Linked DNA regions of Macaca fascicularis. Each later gene encodes a partner of the first gene's protein in a complex. Links are inferred from orthologs where the notes say so. Each region holds a gene or a part of one and is shown in the gene's direction. Other genes may lie near its edges.

Evidence for each region. The genes of interacting proteins can lie anywhere in the genome.
Region 2: the proteins of AP3B1 (region 1) and AP3M1 are in contact, whole or in part, in a cryo-EM structure (PDB 9C5A), measured with the Homo sapiens proteins. The link is inferred for Macaca fascicularis from reciprocal best matches to the Homo sapiens genes AP3B1 and AP3M1. Residues at the interface, in NP_003655.3 of Homo sapiens: Leu60, Lys64, Val67, Gly68, Ile70, Ala71, Lys72, Gly73, Ile92, Glu93, Lys96, Leu97, Val100, Arg104, Glu107, Asn128, Gln129, Leu130, Arg137, Arg143, Ser163, Pro164, Tyr165, Lys168, Asn169, His172, Gln175, Lys176, Leu202, Ser206; in NP_001307192.1 of Homo sapiens: Met1, Phe15, Leu16, Glu17, Trp20, Lys21, Ser22, Val23, Gln26, Val42, Glu43, Asn44, Val45, Pro46, Pro47, Val48, Ser50, Tyr55, Ser58, Ile59, Tyr60, Gln71, Thr72, Glu73, Val74, Pro75, Pro76, Leu77, Phe78, Ile80.

The regions. Positions count from the first base shown.
Region 1 is NC_088380.1:82,072,920-82,080,651, reverse strand, and holds part of AP3B1 (AP-3 complex subunit beta-1), read left to right. Parts: intron 1-954; coding exon 955-1,063; intron 1,064-4,056; coding exon 4,057-4,228; intron 4,229-7,547; coding exon 7,548-7,695; intron 7,696-7,732. UniProt on the Homo sapiens protein: Subunit of non-clathrin- and clathrin-associated adaptor protein complex 3 (AP-3) that plays a role in protein sorting in the late-Golgi/trans-Golgi network (TGN) and/or endosomes.
Region 2 is NC_088383.1:72,308,402-72,316,133, forward strand, and holds part of AP3M1 (AP-3 complex subunit mu-1), read left to right. Parts: coding exon 1-115; intron 116-3,795; coding exon 3,796-3,881; intron 3,882-4,551; coding exon 4,552-4,685; intron 4,686-7,423; coding exon 7,424-7,631; exon of another isoform or gene 7,632-7,653; intron 7,654-7,732. UniProt on the Homo sapiens protein: Part of the AP-3 complex, an adaptor-related complex which is not clathrin-associated. The complex is associated with the Golgi region as well as more peripheral structures.

The DNA.
Region 1 (7,732 bases):
AACAACAACAACAACAACCACAACAAAAAACGTGGCGGGGAATGGTGTTGGAAGTGCCAAGAGCTAGGGTGAAGGCCCTAAACTGAGAGCATGCCTGGGACATTTGGAGGAGCAGTAAGGCATGGCCAGAGCATATCAGGCAAGAGGGTGAGCAGCAAGAGGTCAGAGAGGCAGGCAACAGGGGGACAGTCATGGAGGGGCAGTCATGAAAGGATGGTTGGGTCAGGCTATGCAGACTGTTGTAGGGACTTCGGCTTTTTCTCTGAGTAAAATGAGGAGCCACTGCAGGGTTTCAGGCCAAAAAGGAGCTTGATCTGATTTAGGTTTTAATAGAATCATTCTAGATGCTGTGTTTTGCAAAGTTTGTTTGCTGGGGGCAGGGTGGAGGGGCAGTAGAAGCATAGTCTAGGAGAGAACGATGGGTCAGACCAGGGTAGCTGTAGTATTTCTTGATGGCTGAGGTGTTTAGAATATGAGAAAAAGAGAGAAGTAAAGGATTACTCCAGGATTTAGGCTGTTGAGATGGTCAGGGCAATTTATTGCCTACACTAAATTTTCTTTTTTTCTTTTTTTTCTCTCTTTTCCTTCAGTGTCAAGCTATGAACTTGTGTTTGTTATTGCTGTTACTGTATCTGCTTCTAGTTTTGCTCACCTATTTTAGGATATACTACTTTTGTTTAAATCTTCTGTGGGCCAACAAACACAAAAGTTTTAAAGATTGTATATTTGAAATAAGATTGTTGGTTTAACATAGGGGCTCTGAGTGAGAGTTTGTGCTGCTGTATTTAGGAGTAAAGTAAATCAGCCTTAATGCCAGGACTTCTAACAGTTGCATTCTCTGTTGAGGCCATAAGCTTGCTTTTGAATTTGGTTATGTTCTTGATGATTAAGTTTGCCAGAACTCTAAATCTCTGAATGAGAATTCATTTATATTTACTTTATTTGTTTAAACAGGCAAAAGAATGGACCCCAGCGGGAAAAGCAAAACAAGAGAATTCTGCTAAGAAGTTTTATTCTGAATCTGAGGAAGAGGAGGACTCTTCTGATAGTAGCAGTGACAGTGGTGGGTTTTATAATTTATTGGCATGTATTTTTACATAGTAGATTACATTCTATATCTCAGAAACAAGGCCTAATCTATAATATTCAGCAGGTGGTTTTAAGTGAAGTTTGTATTATCAAAATAATCCCTTTCATTTATATATCGCTGTTTACTTTTCAAGGTAATTTTTAATTACTAAATTCTCTTTTTACTTTACAATGTCTCTTGGACAATAGCTAATACATTGGTATAGCTGAAACAGGAACTCATACTTTTCTGAATTCTAAACCATAATGCCTATTATATCTATTGGAAAACATGATTTTATACTTGATAAACTTTTAGTGGAGTCTTTAAAAGTAACTTTCTTTTATAAAAATGTAAAGTTTATTTTATACCTTGAAGAGTCTTTTTCTCTTTCATTTTATACTCATCTCTTTCTGTGAACCTCTATAGAGATAAAGCTAAAATTATTAAGTCTCTATATACTATAAAAAAATCAAACTAAAGATTGAGAGTAACTGTATGCAGTGAAAAGAATGCTGAATAGGAAGGATTTAGAAACCCTGGGTTTTACCTATGCAAATTGAAGAAGGCACCTACTTTTCTCTATATCAGATAAATGAAGGGGTAGAGTTAAATATTTCTTAAAGTCCCTTCATTGCTAAAATTCTGTGAGTGATTTGCCTAATGAAAACTATATTGGAGTCACTTTCTGATGCTCTTATTAACACTTAACCTAATAGGCAAGTCTGCCCCAAGACCAAGTGATACCCAACTTTCTCTAAAATCTTATACCTTGGAGAACCAGGGCCTGTCACTCTTACTTGGTTATCTACTACCCAACTCTAAGGTAATTCACTCTCTTTTCTCTGTGTTCCTTATCAAAAATCTTTGTTTTTAATATCTGATAAATTAATCTGTGATACATTACCTTCTGAAGTAATCAACTGAAAAGTAGAGAAATAATTGAGAAAGTAGATATTAAAAAATATGGAATTTCAGGAGTAATGTAGACCTGTGAGAATTATCTGTGTAATTAATCATGTACTTCTTCATTTTGTAGAATTACATATAGATATTTGTCTACATTATATTTATTCACTAGCCCATGCCTATTCATAGGCTGACCATTTTTAATACATACACGAAATATTCCATTAACATTACAGCTTTTCATGAGTTTGTCTGAATACATGTAATAATGAGTCATGTGGCAGGAGTTCTACTGTAGCTGCCAGAGGAAAAAAGAAAACTTTTCTTGCTAGAAGTTATGAGATTGGCTGGGCGTGGTGGCTCATGCCTGTAATCCCAGCACTTTGGGAGGCTGAGACAGGCAGATCACAAGGTCAGGAGATTGAGACCATACTGGCTAACACGGTGAAACCCCGTCTCTACTAAAAATACAAAAAATTAGCTGGGCGTGGTGGCACGTGCCTGTAATCCCAGCTACTCAGGAGACTGAGGCAGGAGAATGGTGTGAACCCAGGAGGCGGAGGTTACAGTGAGCCGTGATCACACCACTACACTCCAGCCTGGGCAACAGAGCAAGACTCCATCTCAAAAAACAAACAAAAATGTTATAAGATTGTGTTTTCCAGGTAGCAAGTATTTTTGAGAATAAACTAATTTTCTCTAAGATTTTACTGACTCGAAAATTTAAATAATGGTGCCTGAAGTCAGCTGGCCCCAGATTCGTGTTGCAGTCCCATGTGATGACATGAGAGAGTAACTTAGATGCTGTAATTTCTTTTCATCGTTTATAGCATAAGCCAGTTATCTGACTTAATATGTATGTGTGTGTAACTTGGATATTGCCACAAATTTAAAATGTCCTTATTTAGTAGCTTTATTTTAGTAAAATAAACTTTCCTGTTTGTAAATGATGATAATGATGAGCACCTTAACCTGTGGCAGACCCTGTTGTGTTCTAATCACCTTTATATGTTTCAAATCATTTAATCTTCAGAACAACTCTGAAAAGTAACTAGTATTATCCCCATTTGCCGAAAAGGAAACCAAGACCCAGAGAAGTTGAATAACTTGATCAGTTTTACAACTGGCAGGTAGCAGAGCCAGGATCTGAATGCGAACACTAACTTGATAACCCATGCTTGTACCCCTTGCAAGCCATCTTGAAAGAATACAGGCACTCCTAGCTTTTCACTGTGATGGACCTTCCTGATGTTGGTGTTATTTAACCATTAGAATGTTTAATTAAAGGTTGTGTTCCTGCCTAAGAGGGCTTCGTTACGTAGATCACAGGCAGGGCAACAGTTTGTCCTTTTGTCTAGGACACAACTCTGTAGTTGTAGTCATTTTAAATAGTAAAAAATACACATATATTTTTCATGTGTTCTCTTCTGCAGAGAGTCCTAGCATACCATAATTTATACATAAAACATTTAAAAGTATAATTCCTCAATGTAACTTGATCATCTCTTTGACCTATGGAAAACTCCTTTACTAGCTCGAATAAGTAATAACTCTTTAATTAGTCATTTGCCTATTGTCTTTGAATTTGGAAGTTTTTCCAGGTGATTTGAATGGCTCATTTTCCTCTCAAAATTTGTTCCTAAGAAGATTAAACTGTTGCCTTCTTTTACTCTAAATAGAATTTCCCATTACAAGCAGAAGAATTTAAAATTATTTCTTTAGCCTTACATCAATCTTTATGTAATTCTTTAAAAGAAAGTTTTTGACAAAGCTATATACTTTGGGGTTTGAAAAGTGAGATTCCCTCAAATTTGGTTTACTTGGTTCATCTTTGCTTAGCTTTTCTCTACTCATTGTCAGAGCATCCTCTCTCTGTCTGCCTCCCTCCAAACTCACCGTGCTAAAGGAATCCATAGAGCTGAAAGAATGGGGTATGGGAATGAAATGTTAAACACGTGGTGTCCACTGAACTAAAATTCAACATCTGGTTTCATTTGAGATGAATATTGACAGTTACAGGTGTCCGTGTGTCTAATTAAATGACTATAAATCTAAGAACATCTGGTTCTGTTTTTCAGAGAGTGAATCTGGAAGTGAAAGTGGAGAGCAAGGCGAAAGTGGGGAGGAAGGAGACAGCAATGAGGACAGCAGTGAGGACTCCTCCAGTGAGCAGGACAGTGAGAGTGGAAGGGAGTCAGGCCTAGAAAACAAAAGAACAGCCAAGAGGAACTCAAAAGCCAAAGGAAAAAGGTAATGTATTTTGTCAGAATTTCCTTCAAAAAATATTCTGTGAAAGTTTGCCCCAGGCAGATGTTTCTTGTTAATCAAAAAATGATGAGAGAAAAGAAGTGTGTATTTTTTCCCAAACAGATATTAAATCTTTTTAAAATTAAAGTGCTAGTTCACATTATTTTCCTACTTGTAATGCTTAGCTTTCATTTTGAACTTGAACATATCTTGGGGTTACATTTTGAAAATTGGTATAACCTTGGAAGGCTGAGTTAAGTGATCAAGCAATAGGTATGAAACACTTAATTACCTTTTGTAGCAATTTTGCTGAGGGCTAAAATTAAATCCTTCAACACTTTGCCATTATGTAACCAAGACAATTGATTTTTCTAAATAATGTTATATTAAAAAGATTATGATCCAAATATTAGAGTCAAGGGCTGTGAAGGAAGACGGTCATAAGAGCTTTAAGTGTTAGCACTTTTTAAGATCTCCCATTATCAACAACATTATCATGTATTAAAGTGTCATTAAAATTTTGAGTAATTGGGGCTAATATCTTGGATTGTGCAACTCTGTTTTCCCCACTGCTGTCAGTGAGTGGCCTCTGCCGACATGATGGTCCTTTCCCCAGGAGCCTGCTGCCCGCTCACTTGATGAGCTTGCAGCTCGGCTCAGTCGTGGCTGACAGCACTGATTGGGGCGCAGTACGCTCTCTGCTCCTTTTATTACAGACAGTAATTAAAGCAGCTCGCCCTGCCACTTCCATAACAAACACAGCATAATGCCCTAATTATGACTTTATTAATTTAAGTCAGGATTTAATGATTTTAAAAGTGATTTATATTGTTTTTCCTGTTCAGAACAAATGAAATCTGTAGGTTAAATTAATACAGGCTTTTCATCATTGCAAAGTTAGAAACCTAGTTACCAGTAAATTCTTTTCATTAGATTAACATCTGAAACTCTAAGCAGTAAGGTAAACAATAATTACCATCAAAATTGAGTGATGCATAATAAAATAACACTTTTACTTTTAAAATCTTATCTTAAAAGCTGGAAGTTAAATATATTTAGAATCATTCACTTGTTGCAGCAAAGGAGCTACTTGGTTTATAATAGCCTTGTCTTTGAGAGAAATCCTGTACTTCTGGTTTAATATCAGAATATCTATGATGATATGAGTTATAAAACATGTCTTGTTTCTAGAAAGGGAAAGTTTTGTTCAGTGCATGAAATGTCCTTTCAGATGGCAGAAGTCAGTATACTAGAAATTTGTAGTCATGTATTAGTTTTATTATTCCTTTCTTCAGAAATAGATTTTTCTCTTTACCCACATTTGAATTTAAAAGAATTGTTTATTACAAAGAGAACCACAAATACATTCTAAACCTTATATTTTTAAGTACACATTTTAACCAGTGAATTGGGGATAATAAATTGCCGTTTTTTTGCCAGGGAAAAACAACAACATATTTTTCAGTCTTCAAATATAATTACATGTGCTCTGAGATGTTGCCATGGCTCCATTTTTAATAAACAGCAATCATATTTCCTCTACAAAAATCAATTCTAGGAAATATCGATTCTTTCCTTGCCTCACTCCTCTCCCTCCCCCAGTATTTTTCTGCCTCTTAGAATGTTTTTTTAACTTTGCTAGTATGATAATTTTTTAAAGCTCTTAATAAGCTTTAAGCATCTTCAAAAACCACCCTTTAGTAATCATAAATATTTATGACCGAATTTAAATTTTACACTCCAAAGTGTTTTCATTTGAAGGGAGATAGTATGACATAGTGGAAAAAATACGGACTTTGGAGTGAGACAGGCTTGAGTTCAGATTCTAGTTCTGCCCCTCTTGTTATGTGTCCCTGAGCAAGTTATTTAACCTTTCTGAATATTAATTTCATTATTGTAAATGGGATAATAATGTACCCAGGAAGAGTGCATTTAAATTAGGTAATCAGTATGATTGGTATGAAATGCCTAGCCCTTTCTGGCCCACAGTAGATTCTTAAAAATATACACACACATGTTGTAGAGAGAACTAGACTTTTAGTTTCCAGGAAAATATAAAACACCACAAGGCATCTCTCATCCCCTGAGATAAGGGTGTTTGGTCATCTCACATGTTATTCCTTCTCCTTGGAGAGCTGCTTCCCTGCCCATCTGCCAGCCTTACTCCTATATCTTGGCTTATATGTCTCTTTCTCCAGGAAGCATTCCTAATTGGATTAAGTTTGTTTAGGTGTCTCTCCAAATGTTCTCCTGACACACTATAATTTATTACTTACTATACTGTATTATCACTGCCACCTTATCTATATCCTCCAGTGGACTGTAGACTCTGTAGGGTAGACACACATAGATCCTCTTAACCATTGTTATCCTTAGCACCTAACATAATGCCAACATGTAGTCAAAAATTAATTAATATTTGTTGAGCAGATGAACAAATGAACAAATGAATGGTGTTAAGCACTTAGGTATGATCATTTGGTAATTTAAAAGTTTATATTTGATTAGCTTAAATTTGTAGCAAGATAGTACTTTAGAAGTTCCTTTGTTAACCAGAAACACATTTCTCATAGAATGTGTTTAAGGTCACATTTGAGAACTTGTAGTAAGTAATTTTCTTGGGTAGAAAAGTGTATAAAATACAAGTCTATTTTAGCAAAAGTAGATATATAAATATTTAAATATATTACTAAACCGGGTGTGGTGGCTCAAGCGTGTAATCCCAACATTTTGGTAGGCCGAGTTGGGAGGATTACTTGAGCCCAGGAGTTCCAGACCAGCCTAGGCAATATCGTGAGACCCTGTCTCTACAAAAAATATAAAATTAGCTGGATGTGGTAGTGCCCGCCTGTAGTCCCAACTACTTGTGAGGCTGAAGTGGGAGAATCGCTTGAGCCTGGGAGATCGAGGCTGCAGTGAGCCATGATTGCACCACTGTACTCCAGCCTAGATGACAATGAGACCCTGTCTCCAATATATATATGTGTATACACACACAGTATTTTGAGATAGCATTTTAAAAATCAGCCTAAATATCTTTGAAGTTGTTACTGGTAGTACTTAATTCTTGGTAAATCAGACATTTAATATTTTCTACATTGTTTTTGATTATATTGTTTAGTGTCATTTTATGACTTTTTGCATATGAAGTGTGTATGACAGGATAGAATTGAATTTGAATGGGTTCTAATTTATTTGGTTATGGGTAATACCTTCATTATTACCTCATTAATGTATTCTGGAATTTAAAAACCATTTTTTATATAAACGACTTATATAAAGGAGTTAAAGTTGATATTTCAAAATTTACTATTATATATAGTGATTCTGAAGATGGGGAGAAGGAAAATGAAAAATCTAAAACTTCAGATTCTTCAAATGCCGAATCTAGTTCAATAGAAGACAGTTCTTCAGATTCTGAATCAGAGTCAGAATCTGAAAGTGAATCTGAATCCAGAAAAGTCACTCAGGTAAGAGATTATGCATTTGTTGTAATTGAAGGTAAAT
Region 2 (7,732 bases), on another chromosome or scaffold:
CTCCCCACTGGGCAGCTGTCCAACATACCATGGCGTCGGGCAGGGGTAAAGTACACAAACAATGAAGCCTATTTTGATGTCGTTGAAGAAATAGACGCAATTATAGATAAATCAGGTAATTGTGTGCATGTCATCTTATTTGGGGAAAAACAATTCATCTGACACAGATGAATAGAAAACTGAAGTCCTGGCCAGGCACAGTGGCTCACGCCTGTAATCCCAGCACTTTGGGAGGCCAAGACAGGTGGAACACGAGGTCAGAGTTTGAGACCAGCCTAGCCAACATGGTGAAACTCTGTCTTTACTAAAGATACGAAAAATTAGCCAGGTGTGGTGGCACACACCTGTAATCCCAGCGACTCAGGAGGCTGAGGCAGAATTGCTTGAACCTGGGAGGCAGAGATTGCAATGAGACAAGATCACACCATTGCACTCCAGCCTGGCTGTGTCTCAACAAAAAAAAAAAAAGAAAGAAAATTGAAGTCCTTTGGCAGTATGGTTTCAGTAGAAAGGCATTCATTATCTGATGATTTTTAAATCTGTTTGTTAGTTTGTTTGTTTATTTATTTATTTGAGATGGGATCTCACTGTTGCCCAGGCTGGAGTGCAGTGACATGATCTCGGCTCACTGGAACCTTCACCTCCTGGGTTCAAGCGATCCTGCTGCCTCAGCTTCCCAAGTAGCTGGGATTACAGGCATGAGCCACCATACCTGGCTAATTTTTTTTTTCAGATGCAGTTTCGCTCTCATTGCCCAGGCTGGAGTGCAATGGTGCAGTCTCGGCTCACCACAACCTCTGCCTCCCAGGTTCAAGCGATTCTTCTGCCTCAGCCTCCCATGTACCTGGGATTACAGGCATACACCACCACGCCCAGCTAATATTGTGTTTTTAATAGAGATAGCGTTTCTCCATGTTGCTCAGGGCTGGTCTCGAACTCCTGACCTCAGGTGATCCGCCTGTTTCAGTCTCCCAAAGTGCTAGAATTACAAGCGTGAGTCATTGCTCCTGGCCCTGGCTCATTTTTTGTATTTTTAGTAGAGACGCAGTTTCACAATGTTGGCCAGGCTGGTCTCGAGCTCCGGACCTCAAGTGATACCTGCCTTGGCCTCCCAAAGTGCTGGGATTACAGGTGTGAGCCACTGCACCTGGCCCATAAATCTGTTTATTTTGCCCATAGGTTCCATATAATTTTCATAACCACTAGTTGAGGTCTGCCAAACATGTAAATCAGAACTGATAATGCCTTACTTTAAGCTAATTATTACCCTATGTAACTCTACCTCTTGCTATTTATTCCTTCTAACATTTATTGAAAATCTACCATATACCATGCTTTTGCTACTACATTATGTGCAGTACTTCTGATAAAAGCCCCTATCTTTTCACTTTCTTTCTTTTTTTTTTAAATACAGGGTCTTGCTCTTTTGCCCAGACTAGAGTGCACTGGTGCAGTCCCTACTTACTGCAGCCTTGACCTCCAGCTCATGCGATCCTCCTACCTCAGACTCCTGAGTAGCCTATAGTCCCAGCCAATCAGGAGGTACACACCACATGCCACCATGCCTGGCTAGCTTTTATTTTTATTTTTTGTACAGACAGAGTCTCACCATGTTGCCCAGGCTGGTCTTGAACTCCTGGGCTCGAGCAGTTTACCTACCTCAATCTCCCAAAGTGCTGAGATTACAGGCATCAGCCACCACACCCAATCTAATTATCTTTTTAACCAGACAAAACAATGGTACTCTATAAGAATCATAAAATTTTATTATTAAAAATAGCAGCCGGACATGGTGGATCACTCCTGTAGTTCCAGCGCTTTGGGAGGCCATGGCAGGCAGATCACTTGAGGTCAGGAGTTCAAGAACAGCCTGGCCAACATGGTAAAACCTCGTCTCTACTATAAATACTAAAATTAACTGGGCATGGTGGCAGGCGCCTGTAATCCCAGCTACTCGGGAGGCCGAGGCAGGAGAATTGCTTGACCCCAGGAGGCAGAGGTTGCAGTGAGCCAAGACTGCACCACTGCACTCTAGCCTGGGTGACAGAGCGAGACTCCATCTCAAAAAAAAAAAAAAATTAGTCCTTCCCTTGCATTTATTTTATACATAAGGAAAGCCCAGAAGGGTTAAGTGAACTGTTCCAAGTCACACAACTTGTTAACATGTAGTGATGGTTTATTGTGAATTATAGTCAATATCTTCTCTTCCATGAGTGCCCTTTTCATTATAACATTCCATCTTATAGAATAACAGATTTTTGCCAGGCACGGTGGCTCACACCTGTAATCCCAGCACTTTGGGAGGCTTAGGCAGTAAGATCACTTGAGCCCAGGAGTTGAAGAGCAGCCTAGGCAACATAGCGAGACTCCGTATCTATCAAAAATTTAAAAGATTAGCTAGGCATGGGTTCCTTAATCCCACCTATTCAGGAGGCTGAGGCAGGAGAATTGCTCGAGCCCAGGAGTTCAATGCTGTAGTGAGCTATGTTCACACCACTGTACTCCAGCCTGGATGGCAGAGGGAGACCCTGTCTCTAAAAGAAAGAGAGATCTTTCTATTATGGATCCTATTTCTTAAAAGTTGACTTAGTCCATTTCATAATACCCTTGCCTCATTTTAAAATTCTATTGAAAATGTTTTTGGTTTGTTTTATTTTGTTTTTGAGACAGAGTCTCACATTGTCGCCCAGGCTGTAGTACAGTGTTGCGGTCTCGGCTCACTGCAACCTCCGCCTTCTGGGTTCAAGCAATTCTCCTGCCTCAGCCTCTCAAGTAGCTGGGACTACAAGCACACACCACCACGCCTGGCTAATTTTTTGTATTTTTAGTAGAGACGGGGTTTCGCCATGTTACCCAGGCTGGTCCCAAACTCCTGAGCTCAGATAATCTACCCACTTCGGCTTCCCTAAACGCTGGGATTACAGGCATGAGCCACTGTGCCTGGCCTCATATGTTTTAAACTCATATCCAGTCATCTTACAGGGTTGGCTCCATAAAGGAGACAGTTTAATTTTCCTTAGAATTAGCATATTCTGGCTGGGTATGGTAGTTCGCACCTGTAATCCCAGCACTTTGGGAGGCTGAGGTAGGCAGATTGCTTGAGCCCAGGAGTTCGAGACCAACCTGGGCAATGTAACAAGACCCTGTCTCTACAAAAAAATACAAAAATTAGCCAGGCATGGAGGTGCATGCCTGTAGTACCAGCTGCTTGGGAGGCTGAGGTGGGAGGATTGCTTGAGCCCAGGAGGTTGAGGCTGCAGTGAGCCGTGATAGCACTACTACACTCCAACCTGGGTGACAGAGAAAGACCCTGTCTCAAAAAAAAAAAAAAAAATTATATTCTACAGTGGCATACCTGTAGTCCCAGTTACTGTGGGGGCCAGCTGGGACTAGCTAGTAAGACCTCATCTCTTAAAAAAAAAGAAAAATTATCATATTCCAACCAGAGTTAGGTATGGACCTTGTTCCCTGACCTGTTAATAGAGATGTAAAGCTTCAGTAAGTCTGACACCCAGAGGGTATCTCCATTATTCTAAATATAGTGATTGTTGGGCTAGGTGTCATGGCACGCGCCTATATTCCCAGCTATTCGGGAGGCTAGGGCGGGAGGATTACTTGAGCCCAGGAGTGAGGCTGCAGTGAGCTGTGATCGTGCCACTGCACTCCAACCTTGGCAACAGAGCAAGACTCTGTCTCTAAAAACAATAAATAAATAAAAATAAAAAGATATAGTGATAGCTCTAGTTAAGACTCATATTCCGTTGATGTTATCTTCCTTTTTCTTTCTTTCTTCAGGATCTACAGTCTTTGCAGAAATTCAGGGGGTCATTGATGCTTGCATTAAACTATCTGGAATGCCCGATCTCTCCCTTTCTTTCATGGTAAGTTTTATTCTCCTGTTTTATAGCCCCTTGAATGCCTAATACATGTGAAGTACTAAATGAAATGATAAATATTGAGATAAGTTTGCATCTTAGATTGCAAAGGATTGTCTCAGAAATATTCCTAGCAGAGTTTCCTAAGACAGGCACTTACATGATGAGCGTGGTCTTTATGGAAAGGCTAAGGGAGGTCTTTGCCTGAGTGTGCTAGAAAGGGCTTAAAATTGGCTGGCTGGCTTCTGCAAATATCCAGTATCATTTTTACTGAGTAATTATTTGCTTTGCTGATATGAAAGGACATTGGTCTTTTGTATCATTTTAGAGTCAGCATGACATACTGCTAGGAACAATTAAGAGAACTGACTTCTGGTGTTGTCACCAGTTTGTTCTGACCTTAAGTCCTCTGAACCTCAGTTTTTTAATCTGTTAAAGGGAAATAATACTACTTGCCTTTTCTCCTTTATGGTTATTGAAATTCAATAAAATAATGTACATAAAATATTTACAAACTTTAAAGCATTGTGAAACTATAAGGTTGTGTAGATGTGGTCATAAACTCTTCCATGACTGCTTTATCTTCAGGGAACATATTGATTTGTCAAGGTATCTAAGTACAGTTCCCATATTCATTATGCTCTATGAACACGGCTGTCTTCTGTTTTCTTGACAGAACCCTAGGCTTCTGGATGACGTCAGCTTCCACCCCTGCATCCGGTTCAAGCGTTGGGAATCTGAAAGAGTTTTGTCATTTATTCCTCCAGATGGAAATTTCCGACTCATATCATACCGTGTCAGCTCACAAAAGTATGTTGATGCATCAGCCAGAATCTGCCATCATACATATCAAGCAGAACTCACCTTTCCCTGTTCCTTTATGACAGTTGAGTACTTGAGGTCGTCATTGCTCACTTTAACCATAGCTCACCGGGAGACCCAGTGAGAACTGGTGAAAATACGCACCTAAAATATCAGTATACTTTGAATGTATGAGTGTAGAGTGGTACTAAGTGAGACTAGAGTAAAATCTATAGCCAAGGGCAAGCAAACCATGCATAACCTGGGCAAAAGGTTTTGGTACTGGTTCTTTGCAAGGTTACGCATTGTCAAATTATGGCGCTGGTTCTTTGCTCAGGTTATGCACGGTCCATTTTGCTCTGCTTCTGACAGCTGAGTACTTTGCAAGCAGAGCAAAATGGACTGTGCATAACCTGGGCAAAACCATGAACCACTGCCATAATCTTACCATAGTCTGTAGACTTTGTGGCTAACAAGGAGACAGACCTACCTGTAGTTCGTGAGGACATTCCCAAACTTACCTGCTTCAAGTCAGTCTTCTCTGCTTCGAGGTTTTAAGGAACTGTTTAGCATTGAGAGCCGGGTGCAGTGGTTCACTCCTGTAATCCCAACACTTTGGGAGGCCAGTGTGGGCAGATCACTTGAGGTCAGGAGTTCTAGACCAGTCTGGTCAACGTGGTGAAACCTTGTCTCTACTAAAAATACAAAATTAGCCAGGCGTGATAGCGTGTGCCTATAATCTCAACTACTTGGGAGGCTGAGGCATGAGAATCACTTGAACCTGGAAGGCAGAGGTTGCAGTGACAGATCATGCCACTGCACTCCAGCCTGGCCAAGAGGGTGAAATTGCATCTCAAAAAAATAAAAAAAAATTTAGCATTGGGGATCGTAGTTTTATAGCTAGTTTGTTTCTTGAAAATACCAGAAGTTATTTGAGTAACATTATGACAGGACTCAAAAGCAGACAAATTATTTCTTGGCTCTTTTTTTCTTTGAACCGGAGTTCGGCTCTTGTTGCTCAGACTGGAGTGCAGTGGTGAAATTTTGGCTTACCTCAACCTCCACCTCTAGGGTTCAAGTGATTCTCTGCCTCAGCCTCCCAAGTAGCTGGGATTACATGCATGTACCACCACGCCCGGCTAATTTTGTGTTTTTAGTAGAGACAGGGTTTCTCCATGTTGGTCAGGCTGGTCTCGAACTCCCGACCTTGGGTGATCCGCCCACCTCAGCCTCCCAAAGTCCTGGGATTACAGGCGTGAGCCACCGCACCCAGCCTGTTTCTTGACTCATCACATAGGAACTGTTTTCATTTATATAAAACATATTTTACATTATTTTTCAGTGGGATCGTAATTCATTTTTTTAAACTAGGGCCATTTGCCCCAATTGTTTTTTTTTTGTTTGTTTGTTTTATGTTTTTTTGGTTTTTTTGTTTGTTTGTTTTGAGACGGAGTTTCACTGTTGTCGCCCAGGCTGGAGTACAATTCTGTGATCTTGGCTTATGGCAACCTCTACCTCCTGGGTTCAAGTGATTCTTCTGCCTCAGCCTCCCAAGTAGCTGGGATTACAGGCGCCCGCCACCGCGCCCAGCTAATTTTTGTTTCTTGTTACTTTTTTTAGTAGAGAGGGGGTTTCACCATGTTGGCCAGGCTGATCTCAAACTCCTGACCTCCAGTGATCTGCCTGCCTTGGCCTCCCAAAGTGCCAGGATTACAGGCATGAGCCACTGCACCCAGCCACCCCCAATTGTTTATACTGTTATTAAACTTCAGATTTCTGTCTTGATTTGTATACAGTTCCCAGCACAGTGGTACCAGAACATTATGCTATACTCAGCTCCCCCTTGTGTAGATGCTGAATCTGCAGTTCTGGAGGTACCGCCATCTTGGTATCCTTGGAGGATTGGTTGCAAAAATCAGCAGATGCTCAAGTCCCTTATATAAAATGGTGTAGTATTTGCATATAACCTATGCACATCCTCCTGGGTACTTAAAATCATCTCCAAGTTACTTGTGATAGTACACTGTAAACACTGTGTAAATAATTGTTATACCAGGTTGACTTTTTATTTTTATTATATTTTGTAGTTGTATTGTTATTTTTTTTTTTTTCTTTTTTTTTTTTGAGATGGAATCTCGCTCCGTTGCCCAGGCTGGAGTGCAGAGGCGCAATCTCAGCTCACTGCAATCTCCACTTCCCAGGTTCAAGTAATTCTCCTGCCTCAGCCTTCTGAGTAGCTGGGACTACAGGCACAAGCCACCACACCCAGCTAATTTTTGTATTTTTAGTAGAGACGAGGTTTCACCATGTTGGCCAGGCTGGTCTTGAACTCCTCACCTCAGCCTCCCAAAGTACTGGGATTACAAGTGTGAGCCACCACACCCAGCCTCAGCTAATTTTTGTATTTTTGTAGAGATGAGGTTTCACTATGTTGGCCAGGCTGGTCTCAAACTCCTGACCTCAGGTGATCCCCTCCCACCGCCGGTCTCGGCCTCCCAAAGTGCCGGGATTACAGGCATGAGCCACCACGCCTGGCCGATAGTGTTAAATAATATTTTCAGTCCTCAACTGGTCAAATTCAAGGATGCATAACTGTGGCTACAGAGAGCCAACTCTGTAGCACCTTATTGTGGAGTTAAAGGTACAGTAGGATACTCTGGACAGAGGTTTTCAGGATACCTCTGATGCTTTCCCCACACCATTAATTGTGTTTATGCTTTTGTATCTTTCTCTGTTTCTCTTTTTAGTCTAGTGGCAATACCAGTGTATGTGAAACATAGTATCAGCTTTAAAGAGAACAGTTCTTGTGGCAGATTTGATATAACAATTGGACCAAAGCAGAATATGGGGAAAACTATTGAAGGAATTACAGTGACAGTTCACATGCCAAAAGTTGTGCTGAACATGAACCTGACAACCACACAAGGCAGCTATACATTTGATCCAGTCACCAAGGTACAGCCACTTCAAATCAAGAGTGAGCAAGTGTTTCTGCAATCTATTTTGTGATTTGTGGGGAGGAATGGAGGGAAAGGTTTAGCACCTTGTTTAAAACT